5 linked regions of the Sus scrofa genome follow. The protein of the gene in region 3 purifies or fractionates together with the protein of the main gene of each other region. This does not show direct contact. Links are inferred from orthologs where the notes say so. Each region holds a gene or a part of one and is shown on either strand. Other genes may lie near its edges. The genes, in order: SETDB1, DERL1, FAF2, UBAC2 and DERL2.

Evidence for each region.
Region 1: the proteins of FAF2 (region 3) and SETDB1 purify together in Homo sapiens (affinity purification with mass spectrometry; 3 studies listed by BioGRID and IntAct, counting the BioPlex papers as one, with this or other methods). This does not show direct contact. The link is inferred for Sus scrofa from reciprocal best matches to the Homo sapiens genes FAF2 and SETDB1.
Region 2: the proteins of FAF2 (region 3) and DERL1 purify together in Homo sapiens (affinity purification with western blotting; 4 studies listed by BioGRID and IntAct, with this or other methods). This does not show direct contact. The link is inferred for Sus scrofa from reciprocal best matches to the Homo sapiens genes FAF2 and DERL1.
Region 4: the proteins of FAF2 (region 3) and UBAC2 purify together in Homo sapiens (affinity purification with western blotting; 7 studies listed by BioGRID and IntAct, with this or other methods). This does not show direct contact. The link is inferred for Sus scrofa from reciprocal best matches to the Homo sapiens genes FAF2 and UBAC2.
Region 5: the proteins of FAF2 (region 3) and DERL2 purify together in Homo sapiens (affinity purification with mass spectrometry; 5 studies listed by BioGRID and IntAct, counting the BioPlex papers as one, with this or other methods). This does not show direct contact. The link is inferred for Sus scrofa from reciprocal best matches to the Homo sapiens genes FAF2 and DERL2.

The regions. Positions count from the first base shown.
Region 1 is NC_010446.5:98,290,429-98,294,665, reverse strand, and holds the start of SETDB1 (histone-lysine N-methyltransferase SETDB1), read left to right. Parts: upstream 1-1,427; 5' UTR 1,428-1,552; exon of another isoform or gene 1,553-1,754; intron 1,755-2,638; 5' UTR 2,639-2,649; coding exon 2,650-2,909; intron 2,910-4,237. UniProt on the Homo sapiens protein: Histone methyltransferase that specifically trimethylates 'Lys-9' of histone H3. H3 'Lys-9' trimethylation represents a specific tag for epigenetic transcriptional repression by recruiting HP1 (CBX1, CBX3 and/or CBX5) proteins to methylated histones.
Region 2 is NC_010446.5:16,337,912-16,341,425, reverse strand, and holds the end of DERL1 (derlin-1), read right to left. Parts: intron 2,322-3,514; coding exon 2,183-2,321; 3' UTR 21-2,182; downstream 1-20. UniProt on the Homo sapiens protein: Functional component of endoplasmic reticulum-associated degradation (ERAD) for misfolded lumenal proteins. Forms homotetramers which encircle a large channel traversing the endoplasmic reticulum (ER) membrane.
Region 3 is NC_010444.4:81,402,261-81,405,774, reverse strand, and holds part of FAF2 (FAS-associated factor 2), read left to right. Parts: intron 1-675; coding exon 676-858; 3' UTR 859-3,514. UniProt on the Homo sapiens protein: Plays an important role in endoplasmic reticulum-associated degradation (ERAD) that mediates ubiquitin-dependent degradation of misfolded endoplasmic reticulum proteins.
Region 4 is NC_010453.5:68,143,513-68,147,639, reverse strand, and holds the start of UBAC2 (ubiquitin-associated domain-containing protein 2), read right to left. Parts: upstream 2,806-4,127; 5' UTR 2,143-2,805; coding exon 2,112-2,142; intron 1-2,111. UniProt on the Homo sapiens protein: Restricts trafficking of FAF2 from the endoplasmic reticulum to lipid droplets.
Region 5 is NC_010454.4:51,511,127-51,514,640, reverse strand, and holds part of DERL2 (derlin-2), read right to left. Parts: intron 2,677-3,514; coding exon 2,603-2,676; intron 1,510-2,602; coding exon 1,416-1,509; intron 648-1,415; coding exon 452-647; intron 189-451; coding exon 98-188; intron 1-97.

The sequences.
Region 1 (4,237 bases), on a different chromosome or scaffold from region 3:
CCACCCCCAGCCCACCCACACACACATCAGAAAACTAAGAGAATTTAACTAACAGAAAAATAATCAGGGCAGAGCAAAGATTTCCTTCAATCATTAGATATAACGGGGCACCATATGTCAGATGCTAGGGGAAACAAAGATGATTAAGACAGGACCTTAGCCTTGAGTTGATCACAAACCAGCAGAGAAAACACACATAGATAACTCACAAGTGGAAAGGAACTAAGATAAAAGAACCACAGAGGGAGGAGTTAACTCTGTAGGGAAAGAGTGATGGTCTAGAAAAGTGATTCTTTTGGGGTTTTTTTAGGGCTGCACCCATGGCATAGAGAAGTTCCCCGGCTAGGGGTTCAACTGGAGCTACAGCTGCCAGCTTCCACCACAGCCACAGCAGCGCCAGATCTGAGCCACATTTGTGACCTGCACCACAACTCACAAAGCCAGATACCTAACCCACTGAGCGAGGCCAGGGATCAAACCCACTTCCTCATGGATACTAGTCGGGTTCATTACTGCTGAGCCATGTCGGGAACTCCAACACTGATTTTTTTATTTTATTTTATTTTATTTGTCTTTTTGTCTTTTCCAGGGCCACACCGGCAACATATGGATGTCCCCAGGCTAGGGGTCTAATCAGGGCTGTAGCTGCTGTCCTACACCAGAGCCACAGCAATGCTAGATCCAAGCTGCGTCTGAGACCTACACCACAGCTCACCACAATGTGGGATCCTTAACCCACTGAGTGGGGCCAGGGATCAAACCCGAAGTTTCATGGTTCTTAGTTGGATTCGTTAACCACTGAGCCACTACGGGAACTCCCCAGGTTTATATATTTTTTTAATGAAGTTAGGTGCAGTTAGTGTAAAGATAGCTGGGCAGATTAAAGCAATGACGAGATTCCGTGGTAGTCAACAGTGCTGATTCATCAAATACATCTGGTTCTCCCTCCCTGGAGTGAATGTTCTTCCTGGCCCCTCTGTGTTTGGGTAGGGCCTTATGACTCATTTCCAACCAATGAGTTGTAAATTAAAGTGCCCAGAGTCACTTTAATTGCCAGCGCGAGACCCTCTAGCGTTCTCTCATTATGGCAGGGCAACTCATCCGCCTGGGTTTCTAAGTAGCTCCACAGCGACCCCAGCTGCCCCAGCTGGATTCCTAACCCAGGATTCTTAACACATTGAGCCTCAGGGGGAACTCCATTTTAATGTTTATTGCTGAGTGATTTGTAGTGGCTAAAAACTGAAAACTAGATTTCAAAATATGGGTTATTATGTCATATTATGAAATATTGTGCAACTGCCAAAAAGACAACTTTTCATCCTTTTTGGCTCTTGGCAATACTGCCACCACTTGGAGTGGTGGAAGAGGCGGAGCTTCTGCAATGCACCCCAGGCCACGCCTACTTTAGCCAGACTCTTCTCACGTGTGCTCCGGGAGGCTCCGCTTTGACGCATGCGTATTAGGCGGCGTTTCTCACCCTTTTAGGGGCGCCCTGCCTCTTTGAATTTGACCCCGTCAGGCTACCGTCGTGGCGACCGGAACAGCGCCTCAGGTTTGCTTCCGGCGTCTTTTTTTTTTTTTTTTTTTTTTTCTTCCCCTTCCCTCCCTCACGCTTCTTCCCCTCCCCCTGCTCCCTTTTCCCTTCGGTTTCGTTCTTTCCTACCGAGGCCGACCCCTGAATCGTGGGGTCTGGTCGGTGAGAAAGAGCCATCGTAGCTGGAAGCAGGGAGGTGTGGGAAACACTGTTAATTGAGGTATTTGGAGACCAAGGGCTTATCTCGAATGGTTTGTTTGTGGTGGGAGGTCGGGTGAGGATGGGTAGGAAGTCTTCCCTGAGAGACTATCGGGGGCGGGGTTGAGCTGGGTTCGCGGGTGGGTGGGACGCACCCCTAAAATGAGTAACACGGGGGTGGGGCGGCGTGTGGGCAAAAGAAAAATGGAGACGGTGAAAATTGGCACTGGGGTCGCGCGGCATTCTGGCGTCAGTTTTGTTTGAACCGTTTGATCAGGAAAGCAGTTAACACCAAAGTGTGGGGGCGTTTGAATTGACGATTTGAGGCAGCCACATTTTTTATTCCCAAATTGTTTTATTTCTTTTCACTTTGGGGAAACCTCTTTGCTGCAAGCTTTTGTCTGCTTAAGTATTACAGACTTTTTAAAAATGTAAATTGCCATGTGAAAGCAAAGTAATGTAGGGGGAAAAGTAATTAAAAAGAAATTATTGAGTTACAGACCAAATCCTCTGCTCCAGGTGGGGATATTTACTCAGGTTAGTCATGGTGTGCAAACAGGGATATATCAAATTAGTTAATTAAAGAACACAGGTCACAGAAATCTCTTCGATATGTTGATTCTCTTCAGTTTCCTAAAACATTTTAGATAGCTCCCTGTTGCGTAATATGTGTTCTCCACGCCCTCTCAAACTTTTTCGTTTTATTCAGGTCTGTAGTCTAGCCTGCAAGAGGTGAGAACTGCAAAATCTCAGCTTCAGACACTGGAGAATGGGGAGAAAGAACATGGAATCAAACCTACCTATATATATTTGAGTAACAAATAGCAGAGTAGAAATGAGTTTTGTTAGGTCACTGAAATTCTGTATTGTCGTTATAGTAATTTTAGTTTCCTGCTCTCTATATAGAGGACAACAGTATGTCCTCCCTCCCTGGGTGCATTGGTTTGGATGCAGCAGCAGCTGCAATGGAGTCTGAAGAAATTGCAGAGCTGCAACAGGCAGTCGTTGAGGAACTGGGTATCTCTATGGAAGAACTTCGACAGTTCATTGATGAAGAATTGGAAAAGATGGACTGTGTACAGCAGCGCAAGAAGCAACTAGCAGAGTTGGAGACTTGGGTAATACAGAAGGAATCCGAGGTGGCCCATGTTGACCAGCTCTTTGATGATGCATCCAAGTAAGGACCTTTTGAGAAATAGAAGGAAATCTGTCCATAATTATTGATGACATTGTGCACTTTATACTTCAGAAGGTACAGATGTGTAAAACCTTACCCTTCCCCAAAGGTTAGGGGCCAAAATCTGACCTCATACCACCCATATAATGTTTATCTATCAGAGGCTAATATATGATTAGCAATAGAGGAGTCCAAGTCTTTTTTTTTTTTTTTTTAGAAGTCCAAGTCTTAAGTCCATTTCCCTTCTTTATCCTTCACTCTACATCAGAACAATTAATTGTTTTGATTTTGTAGTAGGATCATCTAGGAGTGCACTTGGTAAAGACCTGCTGTTTCATGTAACTGTGAAGTATTAATAAGTTCCTAGAGCCCTGTTTCTACTCCTAAATCCCCAGAAAATTTTATTTCTGGTGCTCTAATTGTCACTTAAAACACATATTTAAACAACAAGAAGGTAAATGATGAAGTAAGGTTGAAAGGACCATGCTTTGGGCGTATTTTGGATTTTTGAAAAACTTCCCTGAAAACCACTATTTAAACATTTTTCTGTGGGGAAAGCATTTTATGTTCAGAAATGAGACATGGAGTTCCTGTTGTGGCTCAGCTATCTGACTAGTATCCATGAGGATGTGGGTTCAATCCCTGGCCCAGCTCAGTGGGTTAAGGATCTGGCATTGCCGTGAGCTGTTGTGTAGGTCACAGACACAGCTCAGATCCGGCATTGCTTTGGCTGTGATGTAGGCCAGCAGCTGCAGCTCCAATTAGACCCCTAGCCTAGGAATTTCAGTATGCCTCGGGTGCGGCCCTAAAATAAAAAATAAAAAAAAGAGGAGTTCCTGTCGTGGCGCAGCAGAAATGTATCCATCTAGGAACCATGAGGTTGCGAGTTTGATCCTTGGCTTTGCTCAGTGGGTTAAAGATCCGGCGCTGCCGTGAGCTGTGGTGTAGGTTGCAAATGCAGCTCAGATCTGGTGTTGCTGTGTCTGTGGTGTAGGCTGGCAGCTGTAGCTCAAATTAGACCCCAGCCTGGGAACCTCCATGTGCCGCAGGTGCGGCCCTAAAAAGACAAAAGACAAAAAAGAAAGAAAAGAAACTGAGACTCTTTGGAATATGGCCAGTTTAAATTGAGGTCAGTATATAGTTAAATATATTTAGCCGTTCCCTTGTGGTGCAGTAGAATAAGATTCCAGCATTGTCACTGCTGTGGCTGGGGTCGCTGCTGTGGCACGAACTCAATCCCTGGCCCAGGAACTTCCACATGCCTTGGGCACAGCCCAAAAATAATAATAATATATACATATATATATTCTAGTGGCTCTTACACCTGT
Region 2 (3,514 bases), on a different chromosome or scaffold from region 3:
AAACTTAAGACAGACAACCATCAAGTTGCACATTTTAATTTACAATTTTTTACCAATAAAAAGGATGGGTTACAAAAAAGGGAATTTCTCCATACAAAATTAGGATTTTTTTTCATTCCTAAAGAGAAGCCCCCATCACAACTTGCCTAGCCAAGTCACATCTCAGATAGCTTGCTTAGCTAAAATTCTTCCCAAAGGATTGGTTATCCAGACAAAAGTAATAAAAGTATCAGCTTCCTGAATGTGTTTAAGAGGAAGAACTTAAATGAACTTTGGCCTTGAACTGAAGAATTCTAAGGACTGCCGGTAGCCTTGAGAAAGACTACTGCTCTGAGGCAGTTGAGCTGCTAAGACAGCATATGAGAGACTCTGGCTCACTTACCGTGGGAGTCTTCTGCTTCCACTCCTCATGGTGAGTCGAGTGCAACATAACAGGATGAAGGGCTTCTAAAATTTCATAAGTAAATTTTATTGTGGCCACAGGTCAACAGCAGAACATATGACAGTTAGGGTTCAGATGCTCCCCGCCTATTTTATCATATAAATTAAGTATGAGGAGGTACACACACACACACACACACACTTCATTAAAAATGAGGCGCTGTTTTCAGACCCCCATTTCCTAGTACAACACACATCGCTGCGTCAGAGCGAGGCCCGGAGTCACACTGTCCGCACACAGTGTTTCTTGCAAAGAGCCACTGATCAGAATGTTCAAAGCCTTTTTTTTTTCAGTTGATTCAAAGTATGGCAGTCACTCAACCCTGCTCCTAGCAGTCTGCTTGCAGAATAAAAATATAAAATAAGAAACTGTGAAACATCGTAGCCTTCAAAAACACTATTTGGTGACAAGCCTAGCTCTGATGGGAAAAGCTTACCTATGAAAAAAGAGTAGCGGATGTTGAAGCTGGTCTGATGATTCTTCATGAAGCAAAATTAAAAAAGACCCTCGCACACTCAAACACAGATGTCTCTAAAGCCATTACCACCCCAAATTTTGTATTCCACTTAGATGTGCATATAACAGCTCCTAAAATAAGACCTACGTACACAGGGGCTGCACCCTCCTCACAATTAACCGAAGCACATGGCTACCAGGGGTGGGGGGTAGGGGCTTGGGGGTGTCAGTTTGAAAAATAAAATAAAATTGACAACTTAAATAAGGTTTATGGTTCTCACCTTCGCTCTACTCGATAAACATATATCCAGAAAGAGAAGGAAGTAGAATTAACGCCCAGGAGCCTCGCAAAGAGAGGTAATCCCTGGGGCCAATGTGATTTGGAACTTTCTAGCACAGTACAAACCCACTCCTCTAGGTACACACAGAGCCAGTGTGCCCTACGTGAGATGCAAAGGGACTGTGCCCACCGCAGTTTAAACCCAGCCCCCGTGTCAGATCCAACTCCACCAGAGTTTTGCTTACTTTGGATTAAAAAAAAAAAAAAAAAAACGCCTAGCAACCACCCTCACGTCTCATTCATAGCAATCTGAGGTCCTCACTGACTCAGTGGTGCTTTTGGCTGTTTTTATCAAACAGCTGAAGACGTGACAGATGGGGGCAACTGACACCAGGTCACGGCCATTCCAAAAGCTGGGAGAGCTCTCCATCCGCTGCTGCGCCTTGTCCCCCACGGCGAGAGCTCAGCCCCTGGAAAACGGTGGAGCAAGGTCTTTGTCAGCCAAGCGTTGGCAGAAGTCAATACACAGAGCATGTCAGAGGCAGAACGGCTTTGTGGGCGACCTCCTCTAGCTGCAAATGTGGGGCTGGGGAGGAGGGGGGGAGGCGTGTGTGCGAGAAAGAGGTAAGAGTCCCTTTGATGAGGGGCTGGTGACCCGACCCCCGGTGCCCAGCTTGGTGCCAGCAGGGCGGGACCTGCCGAAACCCACTATGCAGATGGAAAAGGGAGAGAAGACACCAAAAGAACACGGGCAGTTCTGAAATTTGCACAGCTGATATTTGTTCTTCTCAGCAGTAAGGACTTGAATGAGAATCATGGAACGTGAGGAACACTTATATTTTTTTTCTTCAGGATTTAAAAAAACTGCTGTCTTGGACTGAAAGACTACATTCAGTGTGGGTTGGGTCCAACAGCATCGGCTAGAACTCGGTGGGTAAGGTCACCCAGCACTGGGAGACTTCATCGGAGCGGAGAGGCTGGTGGGCGGGCCAGAGGCCACTCCTTCACTGGTCCCCGAGGCGAAAGCCCTGTCCCCAGTTGTGTCTCCCGCCGCCGCCGTTCTGATCGGCGGCTCGCCGCATGCTAGCAGGGGGCACGCCAAACCCTGACACCCCTCCTCTCCTGCTGGGCAGCCAGCGGTACCTGGAGCACAAAGGGCGAGAAACAAGAGAGAAGGCCACACCGTCACTTCCACGTGGTCATCCGTCCCACTGCTGTTCCCGCAGCATCTGCCACATCAAATTACATTCGTCTGAGGCTGCGGGAGAGGCTGAGGACACCGTCTTATTAAACTTTGCCCATTCAGCACTTAGCGCAAGGGCCTGGCCACAAAAGGCACCCACTCTTGAGGTGGTTTTTGTTTTGTTTTGTTTTAATTGATTGAGCTTTCAGGCTAATGTCACTCTAAAAAAAATTTTTTTTTCTGATTATAAAAGCAATTCATGCAGACAGTATGGAAACAAAAATATTACACCCACAAGCCCAATATCCAGAAAGAACCATCTACAAGGCATTTTGGTTTATACAAATACGGATTGAACTGGCTCAAAGGATACAAAATTCAGTTCCAAAGGATAAACTTGCAGCCGGTGTGCATAAGCCCTGCGTGGCATCTCTGTGATGCGTCTGGGGTCTTCAGCCCCCGTCAAGGGACAATGGAGAAGGTGGCTTTGTGCCTTGGAGTTTGGGCGTGTTAAGTCTACTCAGTCTGCCCTCCCCCTGCATTCTTCCCACCTGTAGATGGTGGGAAGGCTGAGGCCCGGAAAGGTTAGCTGATTTCCCATCTTTCAAATTAATAAATGCAGTCACGGAACAGCTAAGAAAATGTAAGCCTGGACCTCCACATTCTCAAAAGTTTTTCCAGCTATTTCCCTTCCTTAACGATTAGTCAACTGAGAATGTATTTTAACCCATTCCACTTATCAGATGCTCATGTCTAAATGTTTTGGTTTGAAAGCAAAGACCGTGAGCTGGGACCACTGTTTAAACTCCTCATGGCACCGAGAGCAGGCAGGCGCGAGGTGTGACCTGCCCACAGCAAGAGGCCTGCCGAGCTCACCCTTGTCACAGCGTTTCCCTTACACAAGGCGCTTCAGGTTTATCGGCTCATCTCATCTCCTCGTCCGCCCTGTGAGGCAGCCACTGCGATCACCCCATCTCACAGAGGTGAAAACTGAGGCAAGACTGAGCAAAGGTCTTCTAAAGTGACAGTCGGGATTCGAGGCCAGGCGGCCTGGCTCTGGAGCTGGCACCCTGCACATGTGCCCACACCTCACGCTCCCACAGGGACACAGAGGGCGCCGTTCAGGCGACCGTGACTGGACCCTTCATGGGTC
Region 3 (3,514 bases):
AGGAGCTGGCATTGCTGTGAGATGTGGTGTAGGTTGCAGATGCAGCTTGGATCTGATGTTGCTTTGGCTGTGGCATAGGCCCATGGCTCCAGCTCCAATTTGACCCCTAGCCTGGGAACCTCCATTTGCTGCAGGTGTGGCCCTAAAAAGGCAAAGAAAGATAAAAATAGAAATAAAGGCAACTGTCAAAACTAGAATGGGTCCTGAATAAAAATGTAATGTATATTATTATAATACTGTAATAATGTGCCACCCTGATTTTGAGGGTTGTATTATGAATGAGCTTGTCATGTCATGCACAAGTATTCTGGGGTGATGGGACATTCAGTTGGTAGCTCACTTAGAACTGGTTTCAAAATAAAAAATTTTGTGTCCCATACTTCCACCTTTTCTGTAACTTGATTATTTCTAACAAAAAATGTTTAGCTTTATATCAGAAGTTTTCAAAGAAGAAACAGGTCAGTTCAGATTAGGACTAGCATTGGGCTATGTAATAAATTTCTTAGAGCTGCCCTATGTATTTGCTCTGTGAAATGGATTGACTTTGAAATGGAATTTCAATGTGATGTAATGACTTCATGTCTCAGTCATCCTGGAAAGAGCTGGAATTTATTTGATTTCATGGTTGTGTGTCTGTCTTTTTCTCACTGCCTTTTTTTTGTATGACCTCTACAGGTAATCCACGACTTCTTATTCTCTTTGAAAGAAAGCCCTGAAAAGTTTCAGATTGAAGCCAATTTTCCCCGGAGGGTGCTGCCCTGCATTCCTTCAGAGGAGTGGCCCAACCCCCCCACACTGCAGGAGGCCGGACTCAGCCACACAGAAGTTCTCTTTGTTCAGGACCTAACAGATGAATGACACTTTTTTTCCTCTCCTCCTCTCCCACCCCAATCCCTAAAAGAAATGGAAAACAAAAAAAAAAAAAAAAAGAGAAATTCATATTATTATTATTATAATACAATATTTTTTTTAAAAGACTGCTGCATCCTAAGGAAGGATCAAAAACCATGCTGCCTGCAAGAGTCACCACCTGTGTGTGTGCATGAGGTTAGCAATGAACGTTCCTGCTGGCAAGCCCACCCTTCCCTACTGCCTCTGCACCACGCACCTTCCAACGAAAGGAGACTCTTCACCTCCAACCCAGCCATGTCTCAACTGGGGAAGGGGACATTCCCACTAGTTCTCATTCATTCTTGCTTTTATGGAATATAAAAGTGAAACAAACCTCCATCAACCAGCTACTGCAGCATCTCCCGAAGACTTGCTTCTCCCACCTCTGGAGAAGAGAGGGAAGAGAAGGCACAGAGCAGAGATGTTCCTTTTACTTCCAACAGCTTATGAATAACTTTTAAATTTTTTTCTGTTGCTCTGTAATGACCAAAGGAATGAGGCTGACATAGGTGTATTTTTTTTCCCTTAACATTATTTGATAAAGAGCCAATTCTTAAACCCATGAGTTCATGCCCTGGGCTCCTCCCCACCAGAGTGTAATAAAGGTGCCCTGGGCTGGTTTGTGCTTATTTATGCAATTGTTCCTCTCATGTTCCCAGAGAGGTGGTTCTTTTTGGTCCAACTCTTTCTGTCCTTTCTTTCCATCTATGCACCCCACTTGAAGCAGTGGGAGGAAATCTGGGTTTGTACCCCTGCAAAACCTGTATGTACAGATACACCCATATATGTGGTGTGAAGTCCATGTAGACTCACCTGTACACACAACTGCAGCTTTTCTTTGGAATCTGTACCAGGTGATCATTATGGGGTCTGATCCAAGGGTTAGCAGCTCTTCCTCTTCTGACACATGAATGCTGTTCCTGCCCAGCCCTGAGCTTTCCTGAATCGCCAAGCCTGGTGCCTTTCCAGAGGACTAGCAGGGCCTGTAGTGGAACCACTAGAACCACGTAAGAGTGCCCTGCCTCATTGGGAGTGTGGTGGTGGTGTATTTTAAGGACAAAGAAACTGAGGCCTTGAAGGGAGCCAAGACAGAACTCAGCCTCTTTAAACTGTTGAAGGGCACACTGCAGTTTTTGATGTTGCCACCTGCTGGAGGCAGTTTTTATCCTCTCTATTGCTATGTTGAAGTAATAGGGGTTTTAACCTCCGAATGTCTGTGGTTGACTTTATGGTAATGGGTACATGGGTCAGGCCATGTATCAACAGATGCCAGCGTGAGCTGGCAAGTATTCCAAAGTGTTGTGTAGCTAGACTGGTGCAGACTCATAATACTGCAACCTACTGAAATTAGTGCAGTTCCCTAGGATGCTATGAGGCCAGGGGTTCATATCAAGATAAAGTATAACTTGTTAGATTTGCAGTCTCCAAAGGCTTTCTCTTGCTTAGCTAAAACCTAAGGACCATTCATTGAGGTAGCGGTGATGTGGCTACTATATTCTTTGGCCTTCCGTGGTGGGGTAAAGACCAAGGGGCAGGTTGAAGAGCCTCATGGATATCACCCGGGGAGCCTGAGAATGTCTCAGTGGCCTTGGCACAGGCGTCTACAGCACCATCTCCAGGAAAATTTTGATTCTGCTCCTGGCTGCTTATTACTCTTCCACTGTTTCCTGATGTCACAGGCCAGCCCAGATGAGTGGGAAATAAGTGACTGTTGTCACATCCGGAGTGAATACCAGGATAAACCATGTTCTCCAATCCACCTTGTGTGAAGCCTGCTTCCTGCTGACAACCATGCAGAGAGGAATTCTTAATTGAAAGCCTCCCTCCGTGTCTGGAATTCATAGCTGTTTCCCTGGCAGTACACCGGGGGTATTAAAGACCTTCGCTAGGCTGAGTGTACTGAGTATCTTGCCCACATCTCTGCGAAGTTGTAAATTTTTTTTCTGAAATAATTCCACATTCATCTTATTCTACAATGTGCACTTTATGCCTCCTGCCTTTTGATAACTTGTCCAGTAAAGGAGATGAGCCGCCAGAATGTTTAGAAAAAGTCTGTTCATGTCAGTACAGCTCTTGGGATGGCCTGTCCATTTACTTAAGGTTTCAAGAGGCACCACATGAAGCTCATGCTCCTTCTAGTCCATGTTGAAACAGCCCTGCTTTATTCAGACCCAGTTCCTGTCTCCTTGCAGACCTAGAGCTGCTGCTTAGGTGCCATCTCCTTTCCTCCCCGATAGATGCACATTTTGTCAATGCCAGTACAATCTGTATGTTACTCCCAAGGACCTCTGGGAACTTGATGGGACCTGCAAGTGAGAAAATATTGAGAAGCCCATGATCTGTAAGCATTTGCTCTTGTTTCCAAATCACCACCGGGTTATTTCAGCTGTTTCCAAATGGCAGGTCATCAGCTAAACAAAAACACTTGTTTTCAATTTTGTCCTGCACTCCCAAGACTGAAGTAGATTTGGCTGAATTTCCATAGGAAATGACCAAGAAAAGACATCCAATTGGAGTCAGTTGAATTTCCTCAGCCTCAGTGGGGCCACTTCTGGTCTTTTCCACTTCTGCAGAATTTCCTGCAGCAAATACTTGTTTCTCCTTGTTTGCCTCCACTATGATG
Region 4 (4,127 bases), on a different chromosome or scaffold from region 3:
CTGTGCACGAACAGTGTGCGCTTCTGTGGGGGCTCAACAGACGCCAACTGCGGAGTAACTAAATGAATGGGGGCGAAGCAAGTGTACGAGGAAAGCACCACCATCCCGCAGTCACAGATGGGAGAAATGCACAGGTGGTAGGAAATGGCCAGGACTCTTCCCTCGAAAAGACAATGTTACTCAGCATCCCGAGGGGCTGTGCTTGGCAGATTATTCATCCTCAGGACACTCACTCAGGATCAGAACTCTGACTTCCCAAAGGGCCACACGACTTATCATCAAAAGGAACTCGCTTCCCTCTCAGTGGGTAGCCTTGCAAAGAAAAATTTCTCACCCAGACTTGCCACGAGACGTGGGAAAATGGTGCCTCAACACCACTGTATACACTGTAAACACTGGCATCAAGGCTTGTCCAGTGTGGCCATCTGAGCACCCAGCAGTGTGCAGCCCACAACAGAGGTTCAAAATGTTTGTTGAGTGAGCATATAAGACATGGCCTTCCGAGGAATGGCCATTCTATCAGTTCTTACGCTGCAGATACATTTATTTCAAAACAGGGCAAGACAGCTGAGGAGGAGCCTTTGGCCTTGGCCTCTCCCTAAGCATCAGTTTGGCTCCTAGAATTCAATACTCATCAACCATGTGCCACAGGTAATCAAGCATTACCTTCCCCAGAGTCACCCTGTATCAAATTTGCATAACCTTTGTCAAAATCATGGCTCATACAGAATAGTAACCAATAACAGACTTTGCTTGCCAATTAAATTTTTAAGGTGTTTTGGTCAGCAAGGAAGGATACTTCCAAATGATTAAAGAAAGCAAATACAACTGAAAACTACCGTTCATTTCATATTCACAATGCACAGCTCACGTTATGATTCCAGGAAAATCACACCCCACCTTCTTGACTATCAATTTCAACAGTCATAATGTTCTTTACCCAAAGGGCAGTTTGGGGAAGATTAATTACCTAGTAGTTGTAACGTACTCTGAGGCCAACGCTTGAAAGCTGCCATAAATCAAATTAATTATGAAACCCAGGAAATCACAAATACTAAGCCCGCTTCAAAACATAAAAAGCTGAGAAGGGAGAGAGATGCAAAATTATGCCCGTGGCCCTGATACTCACTCCCAAACTAAGACAGGTATTTTCAGGAAAAGATTCCTAACATTCACAACAGTTCGTTAATACCTGGAAGTATCTACTGCCTCCGCAAGATTGACTTCAAACGTACAGAGACATGAAGTACCAACAATGACACAAACTGCAAAAACTATAGCTGTTCGAAGAGTTCACTGCAGTTGTTGCATGCCTAATCTCGGCACTGTTTAGTTAGCATACATGGCACCTTACCAAAAGTCAATGAAGCCACTTCAGCAAGAAAAAGAAAGTTCTTTAAAAAGCTATATATACTTCTTCGCTCTCTATCTTCTGACCACACTGACAATCCAAAAAAAACAACATCCAGCAGAAATGTTCCTGCTTTCCTGCCAAACTACTTCCAAACTTGCTCCCACTTTGAAGTACTTTAATTAGTTTTTGTTTATCTAAAAACTCCTAAGGGAGACGGGGGGCGTAAAAAAAAATCAAAGTAAATCTAAAGGGTCAGCTCCAGAAGCAGAGGCTGTAATTTGCATCGTTTGGGGAAAAGCCAGCTTGGTCCCTCTGCAGCCTAAATGAATGGAACAAGGTGATGGGGAAGGGGGCGAGGTTCCAACACCACCTCCACTCGGACAGCCTCTACTTTCTACCTGGCAGGCGCGCCGCTGAGGGCAAGGGGCAGGGCCAGGAGAACACCAGAACAACCCAGCCCGACCCTAACCGCCTGGCCCACCTGCAGCACCCCGGGAACACCTGAGCATCGCACCTGGGGCTCACAGGTGGGGGGGCTGGGGGCGGGACTCACTCCCACTCGCCCCTCCAGGCCGAGGTGGGGGCGGTGTCCGCTGCCCCGCCACAGACAGGAACTACCAAGGTTCTGGCAAGGGGATGGAAGATCGGCCCCCAAACCTCCTGCAGCCCCGAGAGTCCCCGCAGCCACCAGTCTCCTCAAGGAGCTGCCCAAGGTGGCGTGGAGGAGCCAGCCAGGATGGCGGCGGCCGGTACTCACAGAGCCCACTGGAGCCGGTGCTGGTGAACATGGTCCCGCCGGACCCAGAGCCCCCGCGGGGGACAGGGGGAGGGGAAGCGGAGGCGGAGGGAGCCCGGCGACCGCGCAGGCGCACTCCCGGCGGGGCGGTGAATCCGGCAACGCCACTCCACTCCAGGGGCCGCCCGCGAACAGCGCATGCGCAACTCCTTAGCCGCCTCCCTTCCTGCCGGGGAAGGGAAGTGCATCCGCGGCGAGAGGGGCCGCTTCTCTGGCTTTTTCCGACGGCCGCGGGAGCCTTGGAAAAGGAGTAGGATGGTTTGGCAGGAACAAGTGTAACTCCTGGGAGCCTCACACTAGTGCTTAGCGCTGTCCCCAAGCCCCTCGGAGCCGCGAAAGCAGCGGGTTCCCCTGGAATGCCGGTGCGGGCGCATCCCCGGCGGCGACCTCTAACCTCTCGCCGGACGGGACGCCCGGCGCGCACCACGCATGCTCAGTCCTCCCGTGCCGGCTCCTGCGCTCGCTCCCCTGCCGACTGCTGACAGCTTGTCTCGAGTTCCGGTGTCCAGCGAAGTGCGAGAGGCAGCTCTGCGGACGCAAGGGGAGCAGAGCTGGGAGGCCTTCCCGGTCGCTGAGAGTAGGGCTGTCCTGCTGCCCCTCCGTGTTCCCCATGTCGGTTCCGCGCGAAATCCCCAAAAAAGTGCTGAGGGTCGTGGCCCCTGGACCCTCATTCCTCTCCGCCGCGGTGGCCGGTGTCCAGGTGTCCCAGGCGCAGTGCGTCTGTGACGGAGCAACGGTGCTCCCCACATCTCTGCCCTGGAGCCCTTCTGGACCCATGCTGTTTAAATTGTTTTCCCTTGCAAAAGTTTTACTCCCTGCTAAAGCAAAGTTACAGTTTTTTAAGTGAGTTTGAGCTTGGAAACTTTAATGTTGTGCAGTCTTTAAGAAATACATACGGTGGAATTGACCAACTACGAGGCTGAACGAAAAGGATAGGCTACAAAATTATGTACAGTATACTCTTCAAAAAAAAAGGTAGTATTTGACTGCTTGTATGGGCCAGGCACTGGGCTAAATGTGAACTTTGCAGATCAATAGAACACAGTTCCTGCCCTTAAGGAGAGGTGCCAGTGGGCCAAAATATTACCATTTATACTGTGTAAAGTGACTTTTCTTTAGGCTTTATTTGTAAAGTTTGTTCACACTTTTGAAATACATATTATATTTAGCTTGAGATTCATCTAGTTGACTTATTTTGCCATAAAAATGATACTTTCAGGGTATCATGTTTGCAGAAAGCCCTTGGCGGTAGCCAGCATAGGACCTCCTGAGTGGTTCTCATGGTAGGTGTGGGAACCACCATCCCTCCACTTAAGCAGTACAAAAGGCTAAAGGTATCTTTACAGTGGTACAAAGACATTGTTTGCCATTTACTCTTAAATCACTCAGGAGTATACAGAAGAGTTTCCTTCCCTCTGTACAATTGGAAAGATTGATTAACTTAACCAGTATTTTCCAGGTGACCAGTACATGATGTCACAAAACTATGCATGGCAAATGAACCTATCTACAGAACAGAAATAAACTCAAACAGACATGGAGAACAGACCTGTGGTTGTCCCAAGGGGGAGGGGAGGGAGTGGGGTGGACTGGGAGTTTGAGGTTAGTAAATGCAGACTATTAAATTTAGAATACATAAGGAATGAGGTTCTGCTGCATAGCACAGGGAACTATATCCAATCTCTTGTGATAGAACATAATGTAAGATATCAGAAAAATATATATATATATGAATGACCGAGTCACTTTGCTGTACAGCAAATGTTGACACATTATAAATCAACTGTACTTTAATAAAAAAAAAAAAAACTCGGAGTTCCCGTCGTGGCGCAGTGGTTAACGAATCCGACTAGGAACCATGAGGTTGCGGGTTCGATCCCTGCCCTTGCTCAGTGAGTTAAGGATCCGGCGTTGCCATGAGCTGTGGTGTAGGTTGCAGACGCGGCTCGGATCCTGCGTTGCTGTGGCTCTGGCGTA
Region 5 (3,514 bases), on a different chromosome or scaffold from region 3:
GTGTGCCAGCAGCTGTGGGAGCCCCGAGAAAACATATCATGGACCCTGCCCCGGTTTAATCTGTTAAGGAACACGTGACCTGGTGTTAACTACTCACAGAATAGATGGTGTTTTCAGAATTCGTATTCCGCCAGGCTGATTGGGAAATACATCTTCCAAGAAAAAATATATGTGTCCAACTGCAATACCTACGGTCAACCAGAAATAAAGGATGATGGAGAGGATTAGAAGTTCGATTGCAGGTGGCTCTACGAACATAAATAGCCTCTATTTAGGAAGAAATGTCAATATACTTATTAAAAGTTTGAAAACAAATATTATAGTCTTGATTATAACTAGCAAATAATCCTATAATGGCTATGTAGGAAGGCCAGACAGAATAAACATGAAAAATAGTGACATAATACATTTGCCAAATAAATAATAGGAAAAGTAGTGCTAAGACTCTTACCCAAGAGGTCCACAATGATTGAGTTCCCCAACAACAAGGAAAAGCCCATGAGCACCCAGGGTAGAAAGGGGGCCTGGAAATTGAGAAGGCCGAAGAAGTTCATGCGGACATATGGGTTCCTTCGGCTCCACACGTAGACAAGCATGATTGTAAAGGCCTGGCCCAAGAACACTAAGCTCACAAACAAACCAAAAAGCTAGCAGTTGGCATTAAGGAAAACAGCAATATTAAAAGGATAATAGGGAAGACTGGGCAAGAGAACTAAGGATTGTGTTCTAACAGAAGTCTGAATTGGGAAAGGCGAGCAGTGGTTACAAATTTAGGAGAGAAAAAAAAGCCCGAAAGTAATTACCCAGAGCCGTCAGGCAAAAACCTGTTTAGGTCACATCACTGGGACTGTTGCTACTTCAAATTAAGTGTCTGCCTTCATGAAGCCCTTGCCTCTTTGGAACATGTGTTAATTCCTTGGTCAGTAATACTTTCACCACGAGGACCTTTCCAGAGCTGAATAAAGCCAGCTGGAGCAAAACCATCTTGTCAGGTAGTGCTACAGTCAAGTCTCGTGCTTAGATGATAATTCTTTTTTTTTTTTTTAAAAAATAATTTACCTGTTTTGATGAATGACCACATAAATGTCTGACCAACTCGAGTTTAAAAATAAATGATGTACACCCATTGACCAGAATACATCTAAGATACTTAAGAGTAACCCACCTGGGTTAAATGTTCTCTGACTTGCTCACAGTAGAAAAGTTTCCCTGTCCAACCTCTAGGCTTAGAAAGCTGTCACATAAAGTGTGCTGCAAAATAAACGGTAGGAGCCTGAAGCTAAACTCTGGGGTGTCTACTTTTATCTCTTCATTCCGAGTATCTAGTGAGTTCCGGGAGACAGATGAAAAGCTCTAGGAAGAGAGAGGGTATTCTTTAATCTTTTCCTGCATTTGTTCTATTTGTTGAAGGATACAGTCATTAAGAATCCACCAAAAAGGAACATAAATACAAAGTCTGCTGTCCGACCTCGGAAAGAGCCTTCTTCTAGCATTCGACAGTACCGATACCTTAAGTTCCAAGTTAAGAAAATGTTTAAGCACACAAATAGGAAGAAAGTAAAATTTAAGGGATCCCTCAAATGCACTTGGACTCCGCGTTGTCTGTAAGAATCTTCATGAGTGGTGGTACGGCTCCTTCTCTTTGGCCGGGCGCTTTAGGCACGGTGAAGAGGAGACTACCTCCTTATTTTATAGAAACTCTTCCTGGTTGGGGACCTGAGCCAGGCACCACAGAGACATGCTTCCCATGACCTACGACACCTTCTCATGGCTGTACTGTCCTTCCCATGTTCAGCCATAGCATAATCCACAGCATCCTTGCTTTTCCACAACCTAACTGGGAGGAAATGCCCATCAAGGAGGCTCATGTAATAATCCCCTTTTTCAGGCCAAGTGGATAAGCATTTCCATACCTCAGTCAATAAGGTGGCATGACAATGAAAACATTTAATAAGAAACTTACCAGAACGATATACCATAGAGAAGACACAGGAATCCATCCTAGGCCAGGAAGCCTGTCACCCTACAAGGCCCTCTGTCTACTGCCAATGAGCTGAGCTCCAACTCCCCTCTTAATCTGGAGGGTCAGGGTACAGGAGAAATGCACTGCTCAGCGGCCCCAATCACATCTGACCAGAGCACAACTCTTCCCTTCTTGCAACAAACTGGAACATGGCGAGCCCAACAGACACTGCCTTTTCAGCCAGTAGAACCAGCAACCGAGATCCAAGGAGATCTCATGTTCTCCATCCCCCATGAACCCATTCCCAGGCTGTGTTTTATCACTTGGTACCTGCTGGTGTTACTTTTTAAGTACGGCTCAAATCACTTCTGCTCTCCCCTGATCAGATTTGCAAGTGGCTTATGGGCAGAAACGTAAATGTTTTATGGTTAAATACCTCCCACTTGAATAAATAGTGACCTACAAACACCCTCAAAACATTACTATCTGGCCAATTATTCTGTGGATCACTGAGCCAGTACCCCCAGGAAGTTATAACTAAGATGGTAACAAAATTAACAGGGTTATAGCTTCAAATTAATATTGTATTTCCTAAGTAAACCTAAAGTTTTTATGCTAAGCCCACTTAGAAAAGGATACAGAAAAATCATATTAAATAAAAAATTGAATCCAACTGGCCCAAAAAATAAAAAATTGGTGATTAGCCTCCATATCTGTTAAGAGAAAAAAAAGTCAAGAGAAAGAATAAGTAAAATATACTACGAAACATTTCCATATCAAGACACAGAAACATCCTAAGGACTACAATGGTTGAAAGGCCATGGGTAGCTGATACTATGTTCTGAACTCAAAAGTGAGGTGAACAATCTAACAGTGGATTTTTATGCTGCTTCTAGGTAAAATCTGAAGGATTTTACCACCCCCTCGGATATTTCAAAGGATAAAAGGACAGAAAACTTAAAATTGTGATTTTTAATTTTATTTTTTATTTTTTTGCTTTTTAGGGCTACCTGCAGCATATGGAGGCTCCCAGGCTAGGGGTCGAACTGGAGCTATAGCTGCTGACCTACGCCACAGCCACAGCAACATCAGATCCCAGCTGTGTCTGTGACCTACACCACAGCTCATGGCCACACTGGATCCTTAACTTATTGAGTGAGGCCAGGGATCGAACCAGCATCCTCACTGATGCTAGTCAGATTCGTTTCCACTGAGTCACAAGGGGAACTCCTAATTTTTTTTTTTTTTAAACCATACCATAAGGTCAAGACAAATTATGGAAAGAGTTTGATGGAAAGACTAGGTTAACTTGCAGAACAGGAAACAGTGCTTTCATGTATGCAGTATCACAGTTTAATGAGTAGTCTCAAGATACCAGAGAAAAGCTGCAGGATCTAACATCAATTGCTAAGAAATGCTTTTATGTTAGCCATCAGAAACATCCCGAGTAAAGAGGAATTCTAAAGCAAATACTCAAGTTCTAGTCTGAACAAAGAGCCAAGTCCCAACAAGACAGAATACTCTAATACTCCTCACAATGGTGGAACACAA